2 linked regions of the Nothobranchius furzeri genome follow. The protein of the gene in region 1 purifies or fractionates together with the protein of each later gene. This does not show direct contact. Links are inferred from orthologs where the notes say so. Each region holds a gene or a part of one and is shown on either strand. Other genes may lie near its edges. The genes, in order: bmp2k and AP-1 complex subunit beta-1.

Region 1 (12,430 bases):
TTGTAGCTTCTTATGGGGAGAAAAACACTTAGAGAAAAAATAAAGTTAACAGCTGAAATAGCAGGAAATAGTACAGTTAAAGAGCAGATTGTAGAAGAAAGTAGTCGAGTGTGGAAAGTGGTCAGTGTGTCCTCCAGCAGTCTAAGCTCCGGTTTAAGGTTGGTTTACGCTTGACGTGTCCGCGAGGTCCACACGGCTCCGCGCGGAAAAGTTGCGTCATTTTTGCGTCATTTTAACAACCATGCCCCTCCACCGTGCCTCCGCATGGCCCAAAATTTCCGCAACGCGCACCTAGGAAATTTTCTAACCATGTGGACGGTCGGACGCGGAAAAACATGGCGGACCGGCAAGAACTAGTATGGCAGAGGTTCGTAAATACAGACATTTGTATGATTCAGCTCTCAGAGATCACCGTGATCAACATGTTGTTAATAATTCTTGGAGAGAAATAGCTCGCACTGTCGGAAAAGATGAGGACGCTGTTAAAAACTGCTGAAATGCCATGTTGTAAACAGTAATTTCTACTTCTACTATGGTGTAGTGTTGGATGCATGCCGTAGAGCTCCATGCTGCCCCGTTCAGTTTGGGAGAATATTGGCTCACCGCAGAGACAAGCCGCATGAACCATAATCGCCGCAAGTTGTGAAGCGCGTTCCAGCCGCGAGCCGCATCACCAAGCGGAAAGTGAATGCGTCAAGCATAAACCAAACTTAAGCCTATAGCAGCATAACTCAGGGATGTGGATTCTCCGGTTTTTACCGGATTTATGGAATTTTGTTGCGATTTGGGGCACCCCATGAGATCGATGCAAATATCTAGTGTATATGGGGTGTGGCTCTGTCCGGGGCTCGAAAGTCGCTATTTATTTATTTTTTCTTGTCCTGTCTGGCTGTGAAGCAAACAGAAATTTCACTATTTTTTTTCACCGAGGCCCACGATCATAAACGGAAATCCTGGGGGGACGGCATAAAGTTGTGTCCCAGATCACATTCGATCCAAATCTAAACAATGTGTTAGTAATCATTCAAAGATTATGATCACCCTCTCCTATTCCTCGAATTGGTATGTCCCATTCAAGCTTTTCCAGCCGGGTGGGGCTGTTTGCCGCTGCTCCCAGAGCTGAGCGGGAGCAGGATAGAGTGACACAGCGGTGTGCTGCTGAAGCTCTACGTTTACCACCACACCACCACTCGTTCTAATAGTACTAAACATATTTTTCTGGGCTAAATTTCTGTACTTTCCCAGTAAAATATCCCTGTTAAGGAGCTGCAGCTCCATTCCTCCCGCTGCAGCACGACACCTGACTGGATCTTACAAAACTTCTCCGAGGTGGTGGACTTAAAAAATGCTGAAAAAAAAAAGCTTTTGCTGCATTTTGCCAAAGTAAAAGGAAACGGAGCTAAATTTTGTCTCTAAATATGGAAATACCAGCAATTTAATGAAGCACCTCGTTATTCATGGCATCAGTCTGCAAGCAGAAGCATGACCCGTCTGTGTGATCGGCCATTAAACTTTTAATCAACAATCACACCTTCTGTAGCCTAAATCCTGTTTTAGATAACAACAGTATAATTGATCCTAGTCCAAATAATATTCCTACAAGTTATCATTGAAATTAAAGGTGTCAACATCTGTTTGTTACTAATTTATTTAATTTTATATGAACAATTGCAGAAGTAGGAATTAAGTTTAAGAAATCTTAAATCCTTAAAACCTCATAGGTAGTGGTTTTATCTGTTACTAGGCAGACTGGATATTTTCTCCAGGCATCTACTATGAATCTACTTAACCCTCTGGGGTCCATGGACGAGTATACGCGTCTTTTGAACAGGTCTGATTTGGGATGTAGTTGCAGCAAGACTCCGCCTCCCTGAGTTTAGATTTCTATTCAGCTTTATAAAGGAGATTATAAACTACACCCCAGTTTTTACATTTCTTTAATAGGCAACGTAAAAGCGGAGTTATACTAAACTAAAAAACAACCTATTTTTAGGCAATCTGATAACTTGTCAAAACAGCAGTTTAGTAATCCGTGAGAGGGAATGTGCTTGTGAACATAAAACCCCCCACAAAAATATAAGATCCTTTTGCTGTTGGTGGAAGTCTCACATATTCAATTGATAAAAAGTATCATCATGTAGCTGAGAGAGAGAGGAAGGCCGCACGAGTAATGAGATGTGCGCAAAAGGGAGCCGTTTGGCGGGGAAAGGAATGGCGCGAACGGAGTAACAACAGTTAGACAGATATTGACGGTAAACTTCATACTGTGGAGCGATCCGGACAGATATATTGTCTCTGCAGTTTAGTAAGCTTTTATTAGGCTTATATAAAGGATGATGAGAAGGATAAATGTCCACTAGTCAGTTCAGATAGTACGGCTGTTTTTTTGAACTGGAAGCAGAGGAAGTGGACGGAGACTCACAGCCGGAGTCTGAGGCAAATAGCGAGGATGTTGATGACGATGTGGCAGATCCATCCTTCCTCATAGAAGAGTTGGGTCATGATGAGGTAGAGGATGAAGGCAGAGATCCAGCACCTCGGAGATCCAACAAGAGGAGTGGGCGGCGCAGCGCAGCTGTCAGATCTCGATGTCCGCGGCGTGAGACAGAGCCACTCCCTACTCCAAAATGCATGTACATTATTGCCAAATTAATAAAATAATTATAAATTCAGATAGTCCAGGATACCATAGTTCCATTCTAAATTATAAAAAACATTTGTCATAAATGTTTGTTGGATCACAATAAAATAAACAACTTTTTTCCTATTCGGATTTTATGTTTTTGAGTGATTTAAGGTCTGATATGCAACCCCTTAATGTCCAAATATAAAAAATAAGTATAAATTCATAAAGTCCAGGTTGTGCTGAAAAGACTGATGCCACTTAAGGCAGTGGTTATGGTTTTTATTTTGGAAATACAAAGGAAAACTCTAAATTGGTCAAAAACGGCAAATTACCCCTGGACTCCAGAGGGTTAACATAGCAGCAGATTAATGTTAACGTCTTAGAATGATTTAAGAGAAAAGTGTCCCAAAAGTTTTGGTTTGTGAAACATCTCCATCAAAACCGTGAAAAGCAAAATGAAAGTACCCTGAAGTTAGTTTTAGGTAGTAATTGTGACCAATGTTCATCCTAGTTTCTAGTGTTTCACCAGGTTGTGGCTCTTGATACAGCAGGTCTGATCATCTGTAGATGTTGCTGCTGATCACAGCTGCTCACTAAGTGACAGACTACAGAAAATAAATCAACAACTTTAAATTTAATAACTTAGTTACCCCAGAACTGTTGTATTAGAATACACCCATTATTTCCATTATTAATTGTGTTTTTAATGAAAATTTGTGGATTTTTTGTTTCTTCCACATCTTGTAGAGGAGACCGAGGAGTTTCCCGGCTCTGCAGACACACCAGTATTTGGCGTGTTATTGCCCTGCACTGACTGGTGGAATGCTGCCATGGGGCAAACTGTGACTATCTTAATCTCTGATGATTGTTTGGGTGAAATCCCGTAAACTTAATAGCTCGCGAAAAGGCACACCAACATCATTTATGATCTTTGGTACTTTCTTTCTGTTTTTGGCTTCTAATTCCATTTTTGGTTCTTTTCCTAACCTTTCCTGTGTTTTAAAAAAGAACCAAAAATGGAATCTTTCATGATGTCAGTGGAAGTGTCTAAATATAGACTTTAGCTCTATAAAGGGTTAATGCTATATCTGCTTTCATGCACTGTGCTGTTTTATAGTGGAGCCAAACACTTCCTGCTGAGTGAAACCCAGTGCTCATCTATTATTCTTGATGTTATTTGGCTTCCATACGTTTCCGCTTACTCCAATCACACTAGTATGAGTGGGCGGAGCCACGCCATGTTTGGTTGTCACTCTCATTGGGTAAATAACAAGCTTCCCACTGATTTCTTGCGTTAGAAGAATCAGAAGTTCGACGTTGGCGAAGCTGAAATAAAAAGACGATGAGAGGAGTTAGTGAAATGAAACAGAAGTGACCAGTTAGTTCCGGTAAAGCAGGAGAATCTTACTGGCATCAGCAGTTCCTACTTTTTTCATTTTTACCGTCCGCCTACGATCGGGGCGGCGCATCCGAGGAGGAACTGAGCTTGTTAGCGCAGCGGCTAACGAGCTAACTGTCCGTGAGTGAAGTGAAGCGAACGACCCCGAGGTTACGTTAGTGGACCCAAAGGTCGGATATTTACCCGGGAGGGTGTCGTTTGTACCGGAGAAAGTGTTGGTCGCATCGGCGCCAGTCACACCGTTGCCCGGGTCTTCCTTTTGGAGGAGCGTCCTGACCGCACACCGCCGACTACATGCCTGCTAACGCCTGCAGCCAGCTAACGAGCCCTGCTTTGGCTATTTGAAGCGAGTTGGTGCTGTCAAGAGAAGCGGGGCACCAACCTACGATGACGGATTCATAATACTACTTATACTTAAATGTGGTGTTATTCAACAGCAAGGAGTTCCAATAGAAGAACTGGGCGCGGAGCATGCAGGAGAAGAAAAGACTCCAGATAAGTAGATAGGGCGCGTCGGACACAAGCAGCTTATTACTGGGTGGTGCTTCTGCCAGCGACCAGGCTTGTTGAGAAGGGTCTGGAAAGACGGAAGGATGAAGAAGTTTTCTAGAATGCCAAAGTCCGAAAGTGGTGGACTTGGAGGGGCGTCCGGTGCCAGCTCCAGTTCGGGAGTCAGCAGTTACTACGGGAAGGTGTTCGCGGTCGGTCGGTATCAGGTCACCGTGGAGGAGCTCATAGCAGAAGGTTTGTGCTGCTTTCTGGGTCACACTTGTCTTTTCTGGTCTATGTATCTTAACTAGTGTAAAGCTCCCAGTAAGAGGCCCAGTGTTCCCAACAACTGCGTTTATCCCAGAATGACGTCCCTGTTAAGTGGCTTCCTCCCACAGCTGGTTTACATCCTGCTTCAGCTTCTCCGCTGGCGGCGGTAGGACCAGTCCCGCCCCTACCGGGCCAAAGTGCTGTCAAGACACCGGTCCGACTCGCTCCTGAAAACACACCCATACACACACATTTCTCACACTCGTGTAATTCTCTTTATCTAGTGTTAAATGATATAAAGATAAATAGCCTGTATTTGTATAGCGCCTTTATAGGTTCCTACAACCTCCCAAGGCGCTTCACAACACAATCATTCACCCATTCACACGCTGATGGCGATGAGCTACAATGTAGTCAACTGTCCTAGGGTGCACTGATGGAGGCGAGGCCTGCCGAACACTGGCGCCACTGGTAGCTACACCCTCCACCAGCAGGTTAAGTATCTTGCTCAAGGACACATCAGCATTCTCTCAAATCATGCCAAGAGTCATCTCAAGGCAATTCACTAAGTAAACATCGCAATTGAGTTCAGTTCATTATGCCAGTTAGTCACGTTTTCTATAGAAGGAAACCCAGCAGATTGCATTGAGTCACTGTTGTGTCAGAAACTTTACATCAATCCCCAAACTAGGCAAGCATGCAACAGGAAGAAGCAGTGGTCCCCAACCTTTTTTGCACCAGGGACCGGTTTCGCATCAGGCAATATTTTCACGGACCAGTCTTAAACATGTAGCAGATAAATACAAGAATTTAATATCATATGACCAGCATAAAGACTGTTTTTTTTAAATGCAACAATGAATCCAGTGTGCACTTGTAACCTCATCAGCATGAACACACACTGCCATCTACTTAACGGTTATAAGTTTTAACCAGTTAAGTTTTAACCAACATTGCATTTCCACTCTCCCTAATGGCCTTGGTTTATATGGCAATTTAAAAACATGCTTTCAAGGTAAGATTCACCAAAACAATTATAAAGTGATTGAAAAGTACAACTCACCAAGGCTGCGTCAATGGGAGCCTTGAGCTTGTTTCTGTGTGACGAGACGGTCCCATCTAGGAGTAATGGGAGATAGTGAAACCCGAAGTGTGTTGCTTATGTCCAGTTTATTCCGTAATTTGGTTTTAGTTGCTGTCATTGCAGAAAACCCTGTTTCACACAGGTAGGATGTTGGAAATGGTAACAGGTTTTCAATGCTGTTGTGGCGATTTCAGGGTATTCCGCCATGACTTTAATCCAAAAAACTGGCAGAGCTGTTGTCTCAAACATTCTTTTCAGTCTGCCATCATATGTGACCTCCAGCAATTGATCATCTTCTTGCACAGAGAGGCTTGATTCATCTGGTTTGTTGACAAACGGGTCACAAACCCATTCCTTGGTCATGCGTGGGTCTTTTGTGGTTGGAAAGTAGCGATCAAACTCTTTTAAAAGCACAGACAGGTGATCCTGCATCAGCTGGGAGCATGACTGCTCAGGCTCAGTCTCTTGCAATAGTCCTGATAATGTTGGAAACACATAAAATATCCCCCTGTTCACTCGCCGTCCTCACAGATCCAGTTTTGCTTTAAACACAGCTACTTTATCTGCCAACTTGAAGACGGTTGTCATTTTCCCTTGAAGTGATAGATTTAGTTAATTGAGAGAGCTGAATATGTCGCACAAGTAAGCAAATTTTGCAACCCATTGCTCATCACTGAAATGCACTGCTAGCGGTGACTTTTTTCTGAGAGAAATTTCTGCAGCGGCTCTCGTTATTCAAACACTGGTCAGCGATCTCCCTCGGAATAACCATCTTATTTCTGTGTATAAAAGAAGGTGTCTGTGCTCTGCGTCCATTTCCTCACAAAGCTGCTCGAACAGGTGACGTTACCGGTCTGTGACCCGGGGGTTGGGGACCTCTGCTCCAGAGGATCCAAGATATTACTAAAGACTACATTAAGGCTGTCATTTTCAATGTCCATATGAATGTTAACATCCCCCACTACAATGACCTTACCAGTATTTAGCACCAAATCAGATAAAAAATCTGAGATTTGATCCAAAAACTCAGAGTGGACGATACAAAACTACAAACGAGTGGTTTTACAGTTTTTCAATCTGGATTAGGGCTGCAGCTATCAAATATTTTTGTAATCGAGTACTCTTTCGAATCTTTTATCAATTAATCGAGTACTCTAATAAATTTGTCTTTTTTTGTTTGTAAACCATTATATCAAATAGCATGTTATAAAATATGAAATACCTCTTAAAAGAGCAAGCAATTGCCAGTTATTCTTCCAAGTTTTATTCAAAATTAGTTTTCAAAACTTAAGCACTTCAGCTTTACTTCACAGTAAACAAATGCGAGCGGCTGCGGCCCAAACAGCACCAGAACCGCTCACAGCTCATGCACAAACATGGCTCACCAGCTGTTTCCCTATTGACACACGTTCATTTTAATTTCTACACTTTCTTCTCACAATAACAAGGATTGTCGAAAAAGCATGTTTGCTGTGGTTATGTCAAATTATACTGATCACAAAACATTTATTTCCTTTCTTTTGTTTTCCTCCGTCACTCATAAACACCGGTGTCCTCCTGCAGCAAACCCGAGGGACAACAGACATCAATAACACAGTAAAAGGTCCGACGTGTTGTGTAAAAACTACCATTTTTAGCACATTTTAAGTCCGACGTGTTGCTACCAAATGCACAGTGTGAGCTGAAACTTGAGTGCTACAAATGAAAAAGTTGCACAGTGTCCGCAGAATATATAGAAATACTGGCTAAAATGCATTATCTTGTAGAGGCTCCGAGTCCGCTTGCAGAAGTGACATTTACATGTGGATGTCAGGTGCTGCAGTGTCGAGGATGTGGTGTTGTGGTAGGCTAAATCCATTTTACAGTATTTACACTGGACTACGTTTTCCGCCTTGGTCCCACACCTTTGACATTTTCTGTCTTTTTCGCACTCCACCGGGGTCCACGTTGTCCTCCATGGTTTAAGAGAAGGTTAAGTTACATTTGCAACTCACGTGTGCATTCAGTGCAGTGTGTATGTGCGTCACTTATTTTGGTCCAGGTGAAACATGACCCTGGGCGATTGCAAAGGCATGAAGTAATCAAACATGAATTAATCAAACATGAATGAAACGAAGCCTCCGAGGCAGAGATTTTGACTTGGAGCTTTTTGTACTCGAATTATTCAAGGTACTCGAGGAATCGTTTCAGCCCTAATCTGGATTAAGAAATTTAAGAATAAGATGTTCAAAAGAACTGTAACTATTAATTGGTAAGGGATTGTTTAATAAGTCTGAATGAAAAATGGTTGCTACTCCTCCTCCTCGCCTTGTACTTGGAGCAATATGATGATTTAAATAATTTGAAGTAGTCGACTTATTTAAGCTAACATAGTCCTCTTGCTGCAGCCAGGATTCTGTGAGAGAGATTATAGAAATCTGATTATCACAATTCAAGTCATTAACTAACAACGTCCTAGAAGAAATAGATCTAATGTTCAACAACCCACATTTAATTTTTCTAGTTTTCTGCTCAGTTGAATTTGTTCTAATATTTATGAGATTTCCATGATTTGCTTTATTAAGCCTGATATTAAATCTGTGTGGTCTTGGCCGTGGGCAGGACACTGTCTCAATGGGTTAGTGGGTGGGTAACTGTTCAGAAGCTGCAGCTGGGTGTGTTAAACTACGACTCTGCTTCCTGGTCTGGACCCAGGGTAGTCATGGAGGACTAATAAAACTGGCCATGTTCCTAGAAAGAAGAGCTGCTCAATCCAAAGAGGAATGGATGCCGTCTCCGCATCAGACCAGGTTTTCCCCAAAAAGTTTTCCAATTATCAATGTAGCTCACGTTGTTTTCAGGACACCACCTAGACAACCAGTGGTTGAAGGACAGCATGCGGCTAAACATGTCGTCACAGGTCCGATCAGGCATGGGGCTTGAGAAAATGACTGAGTCCAACATTGTTTTGGCAAACTTACACACCAAAGCAACATTAATATTCGTGACCTGTGATTGGTGTAACCGGGTGTCGTTACAGTCAGCGTGAATAACAATCTTACTGTATTTATGCTTATCCTTAGCCAGCAGTTTAAGGTAAGATTTAATGTTGCCCGCTCTGGCTCCAGTTAAACACATTTAACTATGGTTTGTGGAGTCTCTAATGCTGGAGTCTCTAATACCACTTTTCTGACTATGTAGCTGCCAATGATCACTGTCTGCTTGTCAGTGGGTGCAGAGCTACTTAGCCCCGCGCTAGCTAAGTACCTACAGCTATCTACGGGCTTTTCAACAGCGCATTGCCAGGCCTCCAATTCCGACACCTGCGCCTCCAAAACTACAAAAATGCCACATTTATTACACGTACCATTATCACTAAAGGAGACTGAGGAGTAACTAAACATCTGACACAGAGAGCAAGAGATAGGAGACAGAAGCAGAGACAGAAGTAGCCATAGCCCTGCTGAGGCTAAGCTAACTGGACGAGCAACTCGTTCAACACCAAATAAACTGCGTGCAAACTCAAATGGTTCCCTAAAAGCTAGGTGGAACAACAGAAATGTGTGTTTCAGCTTGCTTGTGTGCTGCAATAACTCAGAGATATCGGAGTACAGAGAAATGTTATTAATTTTAGCGAGCCACAAACTCCGAACGCGCCGGTAATGAAACGAGACCGTGGTCTGCTGCTAAAATATGAAATAAAACAACAAAATTGTGTGGCTGAAATGTCAGACTCTTGTTATAAAAGGCTCAATAGGGAGCCTAAGTCTCAGCCCTTTCCGGTCGGCTCATGGGTCACCGGAAGAACGAAAAAAATGAATTCTAGTCAACGGGGCTGAAAGAGTTATTTTCTAATCCGCCTTGCCTCCCGCCCTTGATCACACATATATTGTATTTATATTTAAATGAAAAGTAATGATGGGTGTTTTGACCACGCCAGTCACATGATTTAAGATTTATCAGCTTGTAAAAGTTTGCTGTTAGCATGACTACAAATCATGTACAACGCATATATGGCGTCACCGAAGGATCTCCTCCCCCTGGCGTAGTAGCCTAAGGCGAGAGGCCCAGACTTCCCTCTCCCCAGCCTATTGGGCCAGCTCCTCCGGGGGAATCCCAAGGCGTTCCCTGGCCAGGTGAGAGACATAGTCCCTCCACCGTGTCCTGGGTCTACTTTTAGGTCTCCTCCCGGTTGGACGTGCCCAGAAAAACCTCACCAGGGAGGCGTCAAGGACACATCCTGACAAGATGCCCGAGCCACCTCAACTGGCTCCTATTGATGTGGAGGAGCAGCGGGTCTACTCCGAACCCCTCCCGGATGACCGAGCTTCTCACCCCATCTCTAAGAGAGTCCAGCCACTCTTCGGAGAAAACTCATTTCGGCCGCTTGTATCCGCAATCTCGTTCTTTCGGTCACACCCAAAGCTCAATTTGCTGGGTTCCTTATATAGGAAACATTATTTCTGAATGGCTTAATGAACTGTGAATTGGAATGTTTATTATGTGAATTGCCTTGAGACGACTCTTGTCGTGATTTGGCGCTATATAAATAAACTTGAATTGAATTGAAAATTGAATTAAGCAGGCAGTATCTCGATCTCACAGTCAATAAAGTTTTTAAAAAAGTATTCCCCTGGGAATTTCCTAGAATTTCACTTGCTGAGGACGTAGCGTGACCAAAGATGTTTGAGGGTGTTTCTGTGTGTGAATGACAGAACAGACACGAGCACCTGGGTACGCACAGGTTTGATTTATCATCAGACGAGTGGAGGAGCGCGCGTACGACCAGGTTTTTGACGAATACAGGCGTACAGGACAGTTTCTAAAAACATTTGATCAACGAGGGCCCAGGCTTTAAAGCAGATATTCATCTTAAGTTAGATTTAATGGAATTACTTCATCTGTCAGCCATCTTTATATCAAATTTACAGCAATCCAGGAGGCACAAATCAGGATTTCAGCTTTAAAAGGTTCTTGACCTGAACTTTAGCTTTTTGTCACAAACTGATTGTGTGACCTTAAGTGTCTGGAAGGGTATATTTTATCTTCATGGCTCCTTTAACAGCAAAACTAAAGTTCTGGAAGCAGCTGCTGAGTCAGCAGAGCTCTAAACTTCTGCAGTCGGACCAGAACCTCTAGCCTCAGAGTGAAACTGTTTCCTGTGCGTGTGCTGGTGAGGTTCGGCTGTGGCAGCTCTGAGGAAACTTGATGCTGTTGTTCATGATGCAGATGTTTAAGCCTCTTCTGCTCATCCAGCTGCTGTTGCAGTTTGATAAAGAGCATGTGATCGTCATGAAGCAACCGTGGGTGATGGTTTTGTTTCTGGGTGACGCGTCTGTGGAGCTGGACGATTCTTGCTGAGGAGGAACTTTGTCATTTCCCTCTGGTTCCTCTTGGCTGTCTGTCTGAAGCTGTAAAGCAGGAAGCATCTGCTTGCTCCACCAGCCTTCCTTCTGAAGTCCAGGAAGGGTCGCTACTGCATAGTAAAGTTCTGTTGGTGTAAAGAAGAGAAAACCCTCCAGTCTCCCCAAACAGCTGTTGGATAATTTAATGACGATATTTGCTGAGTGTTGCTTGGATAACTGCCCGTGCTACAGCAGCCCCCCGATGCGACAGATGCCTGATAACTACCCACTTCCACCTGCAGGGACAAGTCAAATACGAGTCTCTGACTCTATAAAAACAGGAAGACCTGATCGGCCGTTCCGCTTCCTGTGTTTGCAGTTTCACGAGGTTAGGCCTTGTTAGCTACTTTCACCTGCACGTTGACTTGACCTGGTGGGTGGGGGGTGGGGCCTCACAAGTGTGTTCACGAGTCTCTGTTCCGTTACAGACCGGAGACGTGCATCCAGTCCAGAATCAGGGTCTCCCTGACCTGGACCAACGTAAATACAGTTCATGTGCTGTCAGCTGATGCGTTCCTGCCTCGGTCTGGGAACTCGCGTGCTGAGGATGTAGCGTGACCAAAGATGGTTAGTTGAGGGTGTTTCTGTATGTGAACGACTGAGAAAGGACGCAAGCGCCTGGCTAGCACAGGTGGGACTCATCATCAGATGAGCGCAGAAGGACATCTGTGTTTGTGGCCCTGAAACATGAGATTTGTAAGCAGCGTTATAAATGCCAAACAGATTTAATAATGCTGCAGTGGTCTGCTGTAAGAGTCCTGCTCAGAGTAGCTTTTCCTCATGGTGGGCGTATTTAAACCCACTACTATGATTAACTGTTCTAATTGGGTTTAAATGAATAGTTCAGGACTTTTTAATGGGAATTCCCTCATTTATTCAAATTTTACAGCCATAATTGTGTCTTATTTAACTTCTGAAGGACTTCACTTTTGATTTTGAGTCAGATTTTACATGAATAACATTTAATGTCCTTGTTTTAGCCTCAGCAGACCTCTATAGCAAGGATTATCAACTCCCTTCCCGAGGGCAGGTAATCCAGAATGTTTTAGTTGTTTCCCTGCTCCAGCTCACTTAAATCACCTATTCAGCTCATCAAGCTCTGCAGGAACCTGTTAGTCACCTGCTGGTAAAAATCAGATGTGTTGAAGCAGGAAAACAACAAAAACATGCTGGATACC
Region 2 (12,192 bases), about 27 Mb from region 1:
TGCAGATGGGTGCGGTGGATCTTCTGGGTGGAGGCCTGGATAGTCTGGTGAGCTCATGCTGATTTTTACAGTGAATCCAGATAATTAGACATTTGTCTTTTCAAATTCAAATGACACATCAGCAACAGCCTGGTTTTGTTAGAAATACAGTAATGAACACACACTGTCCGCTGGAGGAGGAAACACTAGTAGTAGTTATTACTGCTTAGTCCTTCAGTTTTAAAATAAAAATATCTGGTGTAACACTTCTTATATATGAGTTAATATCTACTGTAGATAATTATAATTTAATAATATTCAGAAATTTCTTCTCACACCAGCTTGTTTCAGGCTGCAATCTAAATGTCTTCCAGAGTATTTTTTATAGATGCATCAGAGATTTAGTATTTTCCCAGAACGCAGTGAGAGGTTCCTTTTGATTGGTCGCTAAGAAAGTCTCTCTCTGTTTTTGTTTGTGTGTTCGGTGTGTCTGCGATGTTTGGGGGGCTGTAGCTGGGAGGAGACCTGGGCGGAGGTGTTGGGGGAAGTCCAGCAGTAAGTGGAGACCTTCTGTTTGACCGTCTGCATGCTGCACGCGTCCTGAATATAGTCATCATCACACTCTTAAGCTGACACCTTCAGCTTTTTGTGGATGACACACTTACATGCATGCTTGTAATGTTTCAGCCCATTTACTGGTAATGAAAATGAATTAACCCATTACAGGAGAATCCATCTAATTAATGTTCTAGTCTAGTTCGTGGACAAAATTTTATTAAAAAAAAAAAAAAAAAAAAGCATATTTGGTTTCAGAAATTCATGTAATTGTTACATAAAACATAAAAAACAGCAACAGGAGCTGAGCGGTTCCTTCCCGACTTTAAGCCTTTTGATTTAGCTGCTTCCATGTGTATGAATAGCTGGGTTATCTTAATCATGTTCTGTTTTGTTTATAATTTTTGTTTTAATCCACAATATATTAATAATTGAACTTTTCTGAAAATCTAATTTAATGAGCTCTAGTGATTTAGCCTCGGGTGCCAATAGTTCTGCAGGAAATGGGCTAAAACACACACACACACACACACACACACCGTTCTTTGTTACCTGCCTGGTTTTTGTTCTAAGTAGCATTAGCTTCTCATAATAACATTCCTCCTTCCTTCTGAGCATTAAAGCAGAAATCTGGAGCTTTTCCTCATAGTGCACCATCTAGAGGCAGAATATATAGAAGAAGTAGAAGAAGAAGAAAATACCATTTCTATAGCGCCTCTCAAGATAAAAATCACGAGGCGCTTCACAAAAACAAAAAATGTAAAAATATAAATAAGCATTTAGAAATTGTTTAAAATATATTAAAATGAGCAAAAATAGGCAATTGTGATTAAAAAAATGTAAAGAAAGAGAGAGAGAGAGAGTGAACAGGAAAGAGGGAAATCAGTGGATCCTGAGGAAGGTGGAATAGGTGGGGAGAGCAGAATAAAGAGAGAGTGGTGAAGAAGGTTATACAAATGCCAGCTTGAACAAGTGAGTCTTCAGCTGCTTTTTAAAGGAGACCACTGAGTCCACTGATCTCAGGCTCAGGGGGAGAGAGTTCCAGAGTCTGGGGGCCACAGCAGCAGATGATCTGTCACCTTTGGTCTTTAGCCTGGTGCTGCACAACCAGTAGACTTTACTATATACTGTTTAACTGTAAGTAGTGCCAACTCTGCATCTGTCTAGGGATATCCTCTCACTCTCGCACGCTCTGTGATTGACATCTGTAGGTAAGTGGATGTCTCACCCCGGCTTTCCACAGGAGCCGTCAGCAGCACGTTACTGCAGCAGCACGTCATAGCTGCTGATAGGAACTGCTGTGGTCAACAGAACCTTTTCCACTGGAGCCGTCGGCAGCGCGAGTCGGCCGCGTCTCAGGAGCAGCATGTCGCGGCCTTTACGCGCCGGTTCTATTTTCTACGCGTGACGCCTCTGAAACGGGTCAAGTTCGACATTTTTGGGGAAGGAAAGACAGGAAATCGGACACGGAAATGGAGAGAATCTACCGAGATTTTCAGAATAAAGAACGTACTGCTTTCCGGTTGCTTTACTTTTAAAAAAGGTTACTAACAGTGCGTCCCCGTGAGAAGTTATCACCTAGCTAGCGGTCTCCTTTGTTTTTCAGGTCAGTATTGGCGATTATAAAACGGACAGAACATAAAACACAAACCATGTTGTAGTTTTCTCCTGCTTGTTGTTGTGTTTACTGACAAAGTCACTCGTGTGACTTCGTGCTCGGTCGGTGACAGCTGCTCCCCTGCTGCTTCGCGTCTCGTGGGAAGGGCCAAGCAGCAGTTTACGCGAGCAAGACGTGCTGCTGCAGTAACGTGCTGCTGACGGCTCCCGTGGAAACCCGGGGTCACGCTATTGGCTAGTGCTAAGCAGTGCTCAATTCAAATTCCATGGGTCTCTATGGGACGGGGGAAGGGCTTACCCAAAAATTGTATTACCTACATTGTATCAGAGTAAGAATATCACTTCTACAGATTTCTAAAAAAAAAAAATCTTACATAATTCCTGAAAGGAGGGAAAACTCCAGATTGCTGCTTTAAGGTTCTGTGTGGGATTTGTTTAATGAGCTTTTAGCAGTTTTTATTAATCAAACTTGCCAGAGGTGCTTCATCCAAAAAATTGCTAATTAAAATGTGTTTATTTTTTGTTTCTGTTCTTGTGTGATTTTTTTTAGGTGGGGCAAAACTTCATCCCTTCATCTGTCCCCAGTACGTTTGCTCCATCTCCCACACCCGCACCTCCAGCTGTCAGCAGCAGCGGCCTCAATGACCTGTTCGAACTCTCCACGGGCATGGCCACCACCACCGGAGGCTACATACCGCAAAAAGCAGTGAGTGAACACAACCTAATCCCAGAGGTGTACGTTTCATTAAATGGTAGAGGTGACTTGTGTGGTGGCTTTTACAGGTGTGGCTTCCTGCAGCTAAAGCAAAGGGACTGGAGATCTCCGGAACCTTCTCTCGTCGTCAGGGACACATGTACATGGACATGTCTTTCACCAACAAGGCTCTGCAGCACATGAATGATTTTGCAATCCAGTTCAACAAGAATAGGTTAATGACAAAAAAATCCTACCTGCTGCTCTGATTTCAGTCAGAAACTCACAGCTGGAGACACACTCATTTGGTTTATTTCTTTCCTGTAGTTTTGGGATGATCCCCACCAGCCCTCTTCCTATTCACACTCCGCTGATGCCCAATCAAAGTATCGACGCCTCTCTTCCTCTGAACACCATCGGACCTGTAATGAAGATGGATCCTCTCAATAATCTACAGGTACAGAACCAAGAGCTAACTGAGCAGTAAGCGTTTTTTTTTTTTTTGTGAGGGCTTCAAAACGTTTTGAGTGTTCTCAGTCTCCTCTTATGAGCCAATGATTGTGTGACTCTGAAAATACTCACAAATTTTGAAGAAGAAACAATCTTTTAGAGAGCCTCAAGATAAAAATCACGAGGTACTTAAAAAAATACAAAAGATTAAAAAAATGAGAAAAGTGAAAGAAAATTTGAGATAAAAAAAAATGTGAGGAAAGGGAAAGAGACGACAAATAACAAGAAAGGTCATCCATGGAAACCAGTAAAGGCAGAATTGGTAAAAAGACCTGAATGAGAAGGTAGTGATGAAGAATTAACAGGTCACACAAATCCAGCCTGAACAGGTTAGTTTTCAGCTGCTTTTTAAAGGAGACCACTGAGTCCACTGATCTCAGGCTCAGAAGGGAGAGAGTTCCAGAGTCTGGGGGCCACAGCAGCAAAAGATCTGTCACCTTTGGTCTTTAGCCTGGTGCTGCACAACCAGTAGGCTTTGATCACTGGACCTCAGGGACCTGCTGGGGGTGTAGGGACTAAGAAGATCCCCAATGTAAGATGGTGCTTGCTGGTGAAATGTGATTTCTCAAAATAATCCGGATCATCACGAGTGTTTGGAACTCTCCTCGGTCAGGAAGTAACAGAAATGTGAGCCAACTTTGATCATATGTTCTATGTCAGCGTTTAGTGAGAGAGTAGCTTTGATTCTTCACTGCTGTCTTTTATTATGGTTTCATTAAAACTGTAAAACAGTCTGGTGCTGTCTAAATACCTGCTTCTGCCCTTTCTGTGAACAGGTGGCAGTGAAGAACAACATTGACGTGTTCTACTTCAGCGTTCTCATCCCTCTCAACATATTCTTCGTTGAGGATGGAAAAATGGGTATGTTAGATAACAGAACATTCAGAAGCAACAATAAATATCAGTCTAGTAGTAAATGTCTTTTTTTATATTACAAGAATCTCATTGCCTAATTGTGAAGATCAGTTATATTCATAGTTTTTGTCATGTTAAAAACCAAATTCCAATAATGTTTATGTTTACGAATTCTGCAGAGCGACAGGTGTTCTTGGCTACCTGGAAGGACATCCCCAATGAGAACGAGCTTCAGTACCAGATAAAAGAATGTCACCTAAACGCAGGTGGGCAACTTCTTCAGAACCTCCACCCGGTCGCTGTCTCTGGTTTTGATGCCTGATTTGTCACATCTTCTACCAGCTCCATCAAAGAGATGACCTCTTCTTGTGTGTTCTCACATGCCTCTTTGGATTCCTCTATTTCTTTTTGCTTGTAACTAACCTTTCTTCACATTCTTTCCCTAAATTTTTCCCTGCAGCTGATCTGTGCAACCCTGAGCCACTGCTGAAAAACTTTACTGAAATCTGAAGGTTCTAATCAGAGTTTATTAAAACCCTGACATAGACGTAGCTGCGTCTTTAGCAGTAGGATTGTTATCATTCATCTACATGTTAGCGTTGGTAGCTGTAGCGATTACTGCCTCCCTGTAACATAGTGTCATACAAAGAGGCGTTTTCCTAACATGGAGTGGTGTTGATTCTGGCCTTGCAGACACAGTATCAGGGAAGCTGCAGAATAACAACATCTACACCATCGCTAAAAGAAACGTAGAAGGCCAGGACATGCTCTACCAGTCCCTGAAGCTAACCAACGGCATCTGGATCTTGGCTGAGCTCCGCATTCAGCCTGGGAATCCCAATTACACGGTGGGTTGTAGAAAAGGTCACGCTGTGTTGAATTCTGGGTATTTTTGTTCGTAATCCACCTGCACTGAGGATGTTGATGCTAACCCAAATGATCATATTGCTAAACTTCTCTCGTCACTTGTAAAACAGATTCTGAAACTCTTAAGAAAACATCTGAAGGCTGGTAGATTTTAAGTGTTCATAGTGTGTATTGAGTAAGTGTGCTTTTTAAATGCTGCAATTAACAATCCCCTTTAAAGAGCTCAAAGTAAATCTTACTAAAAGAAAAACATTAAATTTCTTACAACAGATAAATGTCTACTTGTGTGGTCAGACCCGCTATTCACAAACCTTTTTGAACAGATTCAGAAAACAGCTCAGATATATGATCATTGGAATGTAGTAATAGTTTCCTTTATGATCATTTAAAGGAGAACTTCGGATTATTCTTTTTTTTATGGCACCATCTAGTGGCTGACAAATGAATTGCACTAATTCATGTTTTTACTTCCTTGTTCACGGCCAAAAGCAACGCTTTTCGTTCATAAATGCACTCCTCAAGCTGACCAAACAGCTAGAAAACATTGTTTTGCTATTATTATGCTCATATCATGTTGTGCATTAATATATTTATAGTTTAAAGACTTACTTGTACATGAGAAAGGTAGCCAACTCTGCGTCAGCCAAAGTAGGTCCTCAAACGCACAAGCACGTTCTGTGTCTGTACGCAAGTGGTAGCCCAGGGCTGTTGGTTAATGCTGACTGGAGCTCAGTTCATATTGCTTGGAGCTCTACGGGACGGGGGAGTGGGCTTAGCAAAAACTAACATATTGCCTTTACGGATTTCTAAAAAATCTTACATAATTCCTGAACTAGGAATACTCCATATTGCAGCTTTTGTTTTATAAAATTAGAAACAAACCAATAATTTTTACCAGTAATAAAACCTTTTAAACGTGTGTGGAGGTTTTTTTATAAAACACAGCACCTGTTCTGTTTTTACAGCTGTCCCTTAAGTGTCGGGCCCCTGAGGTGTCTCAGTATGTCTACCAGATGTACGACTCCATACTGAAGAACTGACCTGACCGAGACTCTCCTTCACCCTGGCAACAACCTTCAGTGTTTCTTCATTTTCTCTTATCTGCAGCTGATTGCCACAGCAAAAAAAAAAAATAAATAAATAAAAAATCCAAGCAGATAATAAATGATCAAAAATATTTGATGTACACCCCCCAAGATACTTGTAGGGTAAAAATCAGTCAATACAGTTTGATTGGAAGTGATTTGTAGTTGAAACAGTTTTATCCCTTTTTCTGGCAGTTAAAAACAGTCTCCATCGCTTTGATTACACTCCTTATTTGTGTTTACTTCTCTGTGAAACCTTGCTAACATTCCATTCTTAACTAGGTATCTTAATGTTGTGAGTGATGTCGAAACAGTTTCAGTTAATGAAGCCATTTTCTTTGTTTTGTGATCTGTTTTATTTTAAAAGTTTATTTTTTAAACTGGCTTTACTTCAGCCGAACCTCCACAAAGACGCCAGTGTTCCCTTTTGCCATTATTGTGTGAGGATGTCTGCAAACTGAAGCTACCGCTGTTTTTTTTATTCCCTGTCATGATTTAAACCCACAGCATGTTTAGTAGATTTACCCAAATATGTGCTGCATTTATTTGCCAACAGTACCTTTATTTTCTGTAACGGTATAAGAATAATTCATGAAAACATTCAGACATTTTTAAAAAACAAGTGACGTAAGAGCTGTAAGTAACTCTGGTGAAATTTTAGATTTTGGTGTTTACTTTTTGTGTTTCGTTTGAAACGGAGATGCATGCATAAAAAATAATCACTTCTTCATGCTGGTTGTAGCTGCAGCTTTTTTCATCTTTCATCAAGTGTTATTTAACTCATTATTGCATATAAAAGCACATAAATGCAAATGAAAGACAAATATTAGATTATTCCTAAAGGAAAATCCTAAACATCTGCAGAACCCAGTTAAACAGCTTCTAGTGACCAATATGACTGATTGCCAGCTGTTGTGTTGAAACACCCATTCCACTCCATTTTACTTAAAACCCTGTCTTATCGCCCTGTTTACTGCAACTGTAGTTGTTTTCTCATGGCTTTATTCACTTATCATTCCTATTTATTTGCATCTACCTCCACATGTTGATTGTGTCAGTAGCTTCAGTTATGATTCCTTTATCTTCTAAATGCTGATGTTTTATTTTTTTAATATTCATGCCAGTGTAAACTTTTTGAAATTGGCCAAAATGCAACTCACAGGACCAATAATTCTCTTAGGATCAAACCTGTGTTTTAATAATGTGGTGTCGTTATAACCTGATGTTGGCATTGTGCGGTAGCGCTAACACCTATAGGCCCGAGTTGTGGTGTGGTCCAGTTATGGTGTTTGTGGTGTTGTTAATGAAAAGCTTCTATCACTCTGAAATTTAAATAAAGCTTTGCCTCTATTCCACAAAGTACTCTTGAGTAAGTTCATTCTTTTATAGAAGCACCTAAAAGCTTAATCCTTTTACCATTTCTGGGTTTTACATTTAACATAAAACATTTCATAGTAAACCTATAGATTACTCAGATAATTTGGTAATGCAGCTTTAGGGTCTGGGGTCATGAGTCTCAGCCTGAAGGAAAGGGTGAATAGTTCATGGCCCTGGATGGGTGGAGTCTGCTGTGATTTATTTTGTTTGCAATTTTACATGTAAAAGTAGGTATGTTTATTTGTCACTGTAAAAAAACCCATGATGGATTATTTGTGATATAATTGACCTGGGTCACTTTGCTGCAGGTATCTGACTTTTGAAATACAATCTGGTGGTCAGAGCAGGCTGGAATATCCTTGATCTTGTTCCATAATCACTTGCTTCAGGCACAAACACCAAATAATTTACTATCTGTTGTTCTTCCAGCTCTTGGAGAGTACAGACACTTTTTTCTCCTCTCCCTCCCTTCTTATCCCAAGGCTCTTTGTCCTGTCTTGTGCACGGCGCTTTCTGCATTTTTTCTGGAAACTGGAAATTATTAAAAATGGATCTGGTCATTTGGTCTCTCAACGCGATTGACAACATTTTTTCAACGATGAGAACGGGAGAAAGGGCTCCCGGATGCCCCTCTGGGACAGAGCCAGCTGGGTATATCATGGACTCCTGGAAACAGTGGAACCTGATCTGCCTCTCTCAACTGTCTGTGGAGGATTCTGAAGATGTCTGGATGTTCGTCATTTTGGTGTCGGGATTCCTGCTGTTTGGCCTGAGCGGTTACCTATTCGAGGAATATTGGCTCAATCCCGGAGCTCAGGGATGGAATGCACAAACTCATAAAATTGTCGAGATGAGTCGTAAGCTTGGAACTTTGGCTGAGATTCAGGCTCTGGCACAGAAGGTGGATTCCATCAAGGACAGAGCTGTGGACAGGTCAGCACGGATTGGGATAGATTAATTATGCCATTACTGGATCTAGAGGGGTTGAAGACCAACAGAACTCTTAAGGCAGAGAGGAAATTATCTCTGTCTGTCCCCAAAACAATTCTTATCTGAATCTGGTGCCCTTGGAGCCTGTGAGGCTGAAGTGATAACTCCCCCCTCAGAAGAAATGTAGAATGCTGCCGTCGCTATGGAAACTCTTTCTCCCTATCCCAGCCTGGGCGGGACTGTGACCGGTGAAGGCCGTGGAACCGTATCTAGGAGTCAATGTGCCCTCTAACCCATTATCTCCCTCCCCTGTCCAAACGGCGGTCATGAGTGCTGCTCCATGCGGCTGTACGCACTGAAGTGAGGAGAGTCCCAACTAGTGGTGTGCATCTCTACCTGCCTCACGATTCGATCCGATTCCGATTATCTGCCTAAAGATTCAATTTGAGTCTGAAATCCGATTCTTCACACAAAATTTTTCATTACTTAATAAAAGCAGTTGCTTATGTAATGTGCTGTTATTGTTACGTACGACTCCGTTGCAGTTGACGTCCATGAATCACATGTAACGGCTACGCGGCTAGCTTTACTCATTGATTTCATTACCTGGGCTTTGGTTTCGTTGTACAATGCAGGCACAGCAGTTTCTGTGAAGTGTCTTCTTGTCGGTAGGTTATACAGAGACTCGAGCGTTTTCAGGAGGTAGTGAAACCCAGCATGCTCTACCACAGAATATGGTTGTAGATCCTTAGCAATAAAGCATGCAACAGAATGGGTGATCTTCCCTCCCTCCGAAGCAGACGGTAAAAATGTCAGCGCTTCTTCAATCGTTGGCTGGGATGTGCTCGCTGTTTTTGTGGCTGTTGTTGAAGAAGTCCTCGCAGGGTGGAAACGTTCAAAATGTTTGGTCATATTAGTTGTGTTCCAAAAGTACTTTAGTTTTGTGTGACACACCTTACACACAGTGTGCGTCTTGTCAAGCTTTCTGTCTCGCTCATAAAAGCCAAAATTAGCTCAGACATCCCATTTAAATGTAACGGGTGCATCTTTGATTACTGGTAATGTTCGCCCTGTATCCCTGTCTGCCATTTCTGTTTTAAATTGGCGCTAGGGCAACACAGCGCGCATGTCATTGCAACTCCGCCCCCGGAAGTAGTCGTAAAACCTCAAGACTTTATTGTCCCAGCACGTCCAGAACATCGACATAGACATAGGGAGAAAATCTCATTATGTCACGTTGCTGCATCGATGCAGAATCATGCTCGACCGAATCGTGATGCATCTTAGAATCGATCATTTTTCCCACCTCTAGTCCCAACCCCACCTCCCCACCTAGTGGACACTTATGTTGTGTAATGTCTGAAGTCTGTGCGCATATCTGTCTGAGGAGTTTTTTTTTTTTTTTGCATAGCAAAGCTACCCTCTCTGTTCAGGGTAACTCTGAAGTGCCTTTTTTTCCCTCTCCCGACTCTATCCTCATATAAACCCTTTTGATCTATTACGGTAGGGCGACTCGGGTTGCAAATGACCACAGTCACCAATTCTTGTCATGTGTCTATGTATGTGTGTCTGATCTCAGAATTGTGTGTACTGAAATGCTAATTTCCCCCTGGGATTAATAAAGTATTTTTGAATTGAATTGCATTGAACTAAATAGCATAGGCGTGGTGAAGTCTTCTGGTTTCTCATCCATTCAGGACTGCTGAGATGGCAGGGCCCTGGAGAGGGTTATTAGATTTTTTTTAATGCTATTCAGAAAGTCCAGGGCAGTGTGTTACTTGTACCATTCAATTTGCTTTTCATCTATAAATCAATTAAAATAGACTCACTGCCTCATTGTTTCTATTATGCTGTGTTAAAGTGAGTTGTCATAGTTGAAGCGCTCGCTGATTGTCCCTCCAGGACGGTGCCGGCCAGTACCAACCTGGCTGCAGCCAGCTACGGACTGGATCAATAACCAACACTTACAACAAAATTGTAGGTTTATGCTAAAAGAAGTAATAAACAATAGTTATGAATAAGCAATCCAGGTGATACTTGTCTGATGAAGTTGTCTTTACCCTGCAGAGGTAAGCAGGGTTTGGCAATGTCCTCCAGAGGAGACCGCTGACAGCCAACAATCTTTCTGCCATTGTCACTACTCTTTGGAGACGCTTCTTGTCCGCTGCAGAACAACTCCAGCACCACCCTGAAAGGCCATACATCAAAAAAGGATCAGCTGAATCCCTGTATAACACCAGCAGCCTTTCTTCCATCTTGGTTTTCTTTAAAACCCTCAGGAAGTGGAGTCTCTGATGAGCTCTCTTCACTATGGGTGTGGTGTTCACTGACCATGAGAATTCATCAGTCATCATGACCCCAGTGAACCTAAAGGACCCCACTTTTTCTACTTTTCTGTGCCAGAACGTCAAAGGGTTAATAAATCTTTACAACATTTCAACGGCTGATGCAGGCATTCATAAAGCGGATGAAGAGGAACCTTTAATCTATTTAGACTCCAGGGGAATAAAGACAAAGACTCAGGTTGGAAATCTTGGTGTTATCATTGACTCTGACCTGAACTTCTCTGGACATATTAAGGCTTTAACTAAATCAGCGTTTATCACCTTCATCAAATAGCAAGAGTCAGAGGTCTCATGTCAAGACCAGACTTGGAGAAACTTATTCATGCTTTCATTTCTAGTCGGCTGGACTACCGCAATGGTCTCCTAACTGGTCTTTCCAAAAAAGCTGCAAAGCAACTGCAGCTTGTTCAGAAGGCTGCTGCTAGAGTCTTAACAAGAACTAAGAGAACGGAGCACACCACTCCTGTTCTTAGATCCCTACACTGGTTACCAGTAAACTACAGAATAGATTTCAAAGTGCTCCTACTAGTTTATAAATCACTCAATGGCATGGGACCAAAATACATGCCCGATCTCCGCCTTATGAGACATGAATGAATGTAAAAATGCTTTTTATATGACTCAGATGTTTTTTTTAATCAAAATTTCTCAGTTACCTTGAACTTGTTTTAGGTTTAGAGTGCATGCTCATTTGTATTCTTTACAGAATGTTTCTTCGTAATGATTTCTAATAATTTGGAGAGACCTGCTTCTCACTAAAAGCAAAATGCAGTTGATTTATATAGCTTTATGAATGTTTCCCTGTTTTTGAAGGAATTTTGTAGGAAGTTAAAACCCAATTATCGCATGTTGTTTTAATACGCAACATTTTCCCATTCAGATAGAAGCGTAAATCCAACTGAGCACACATTACGGATATCGAGACCTGTTTCTACTGTTTGAGAACAACATGTCCTTGGTGCCAGAACGGCATGAATGAACGACTGTGTCCTCCGTCCAGCCCAGAGACACAAATCATGCTGACTGTCTGGGACAAAAACAAAGCTTTTAACCCAAGATGCAGCCAGAGACGGACGCTTCTACGAAAGTCAAAACAACTCACAAGTTTTTATTGCTTGCGTGTTTCAGTTTCTTCAATTTCAGTAAGTAACCTTTACCTAAACTGAAAATTCATTCATCATCAAGCGAGGCTAATCTTGATCTGTGCTTTATCATGGTAAATAGAAATTTTCATTAGATTTTGCATTCTGCCTGATGCAAGATGAGAGAATCAACTCCTTATAAAAGTTTGCTGAAGTGAAGGAAGAACAAATGTTTTAAAATATGTAAAGAACGCAAAAGCTTCCATTTGTTTCCTGTTATGAGCTCGTTCAGTATC

What was found.
Region 2: the proteins of bmp2k (region 1) and AP-1 complex subunit beta-1 purify together in Homo sapiens (affinity purification with mass spectrometry; 3 studies listed by BioGRID and IntAct, with this or other methods). This does not show direct contact. The link is inferred for Nothobranchius furzeri from reciprocal best matches to the Homo sapiens genes BMP2K and AP2B1.

The regions. Positions count from the first base shown.
Region 1 is NC_091750.1:39,756,717-39,769,146, reverse strand, and holds the start of bmp2k (BMP-2-inducible protein kinase), read left to right. Parts: upstream 1-4,398; 5' UTR 4,399-4,618; coding exon 4,619-4,769; intron 4,770-12,430. UniProt on the Homo sapiens protein: May be involved in osteoblast differentiation.
Region 2 is NC_091750.1:66,900,054-66,912,245, forward strand, and holds the end of AP-1 complex subunit beta-1, read left to right. Parts: coding exon 1-47; intron 48-492; coding exon 493-534; intron 535-2,701; coding exon 2,702-2,857; intron 2,858-2,934; coding exon 2,935-3,080; intron 3,081-3,172; coding exon 3,173-3,302; intron 3,303-4,131; coding exon 4,132-4,216; intron 4,217-4,389; coding exon 4,390-4,476; intron 4,477-4,903; coding exon 4,904-5,058; intron 5,059-6,042; coding exon 6,043-6,117; 3' UTR 6,118-6,533; downstream 6,534-12,192. Other genes in the region: hepatic and glial cell adhesion molecule, read left to right, coding at 11,872-11,956. UniProt on the Homo sapiens protein: Component of the adaptor protein complex 2 (AP-2). Adaptor protein complexes function in protein transport via transport vesicles in different membrane traffic pathways.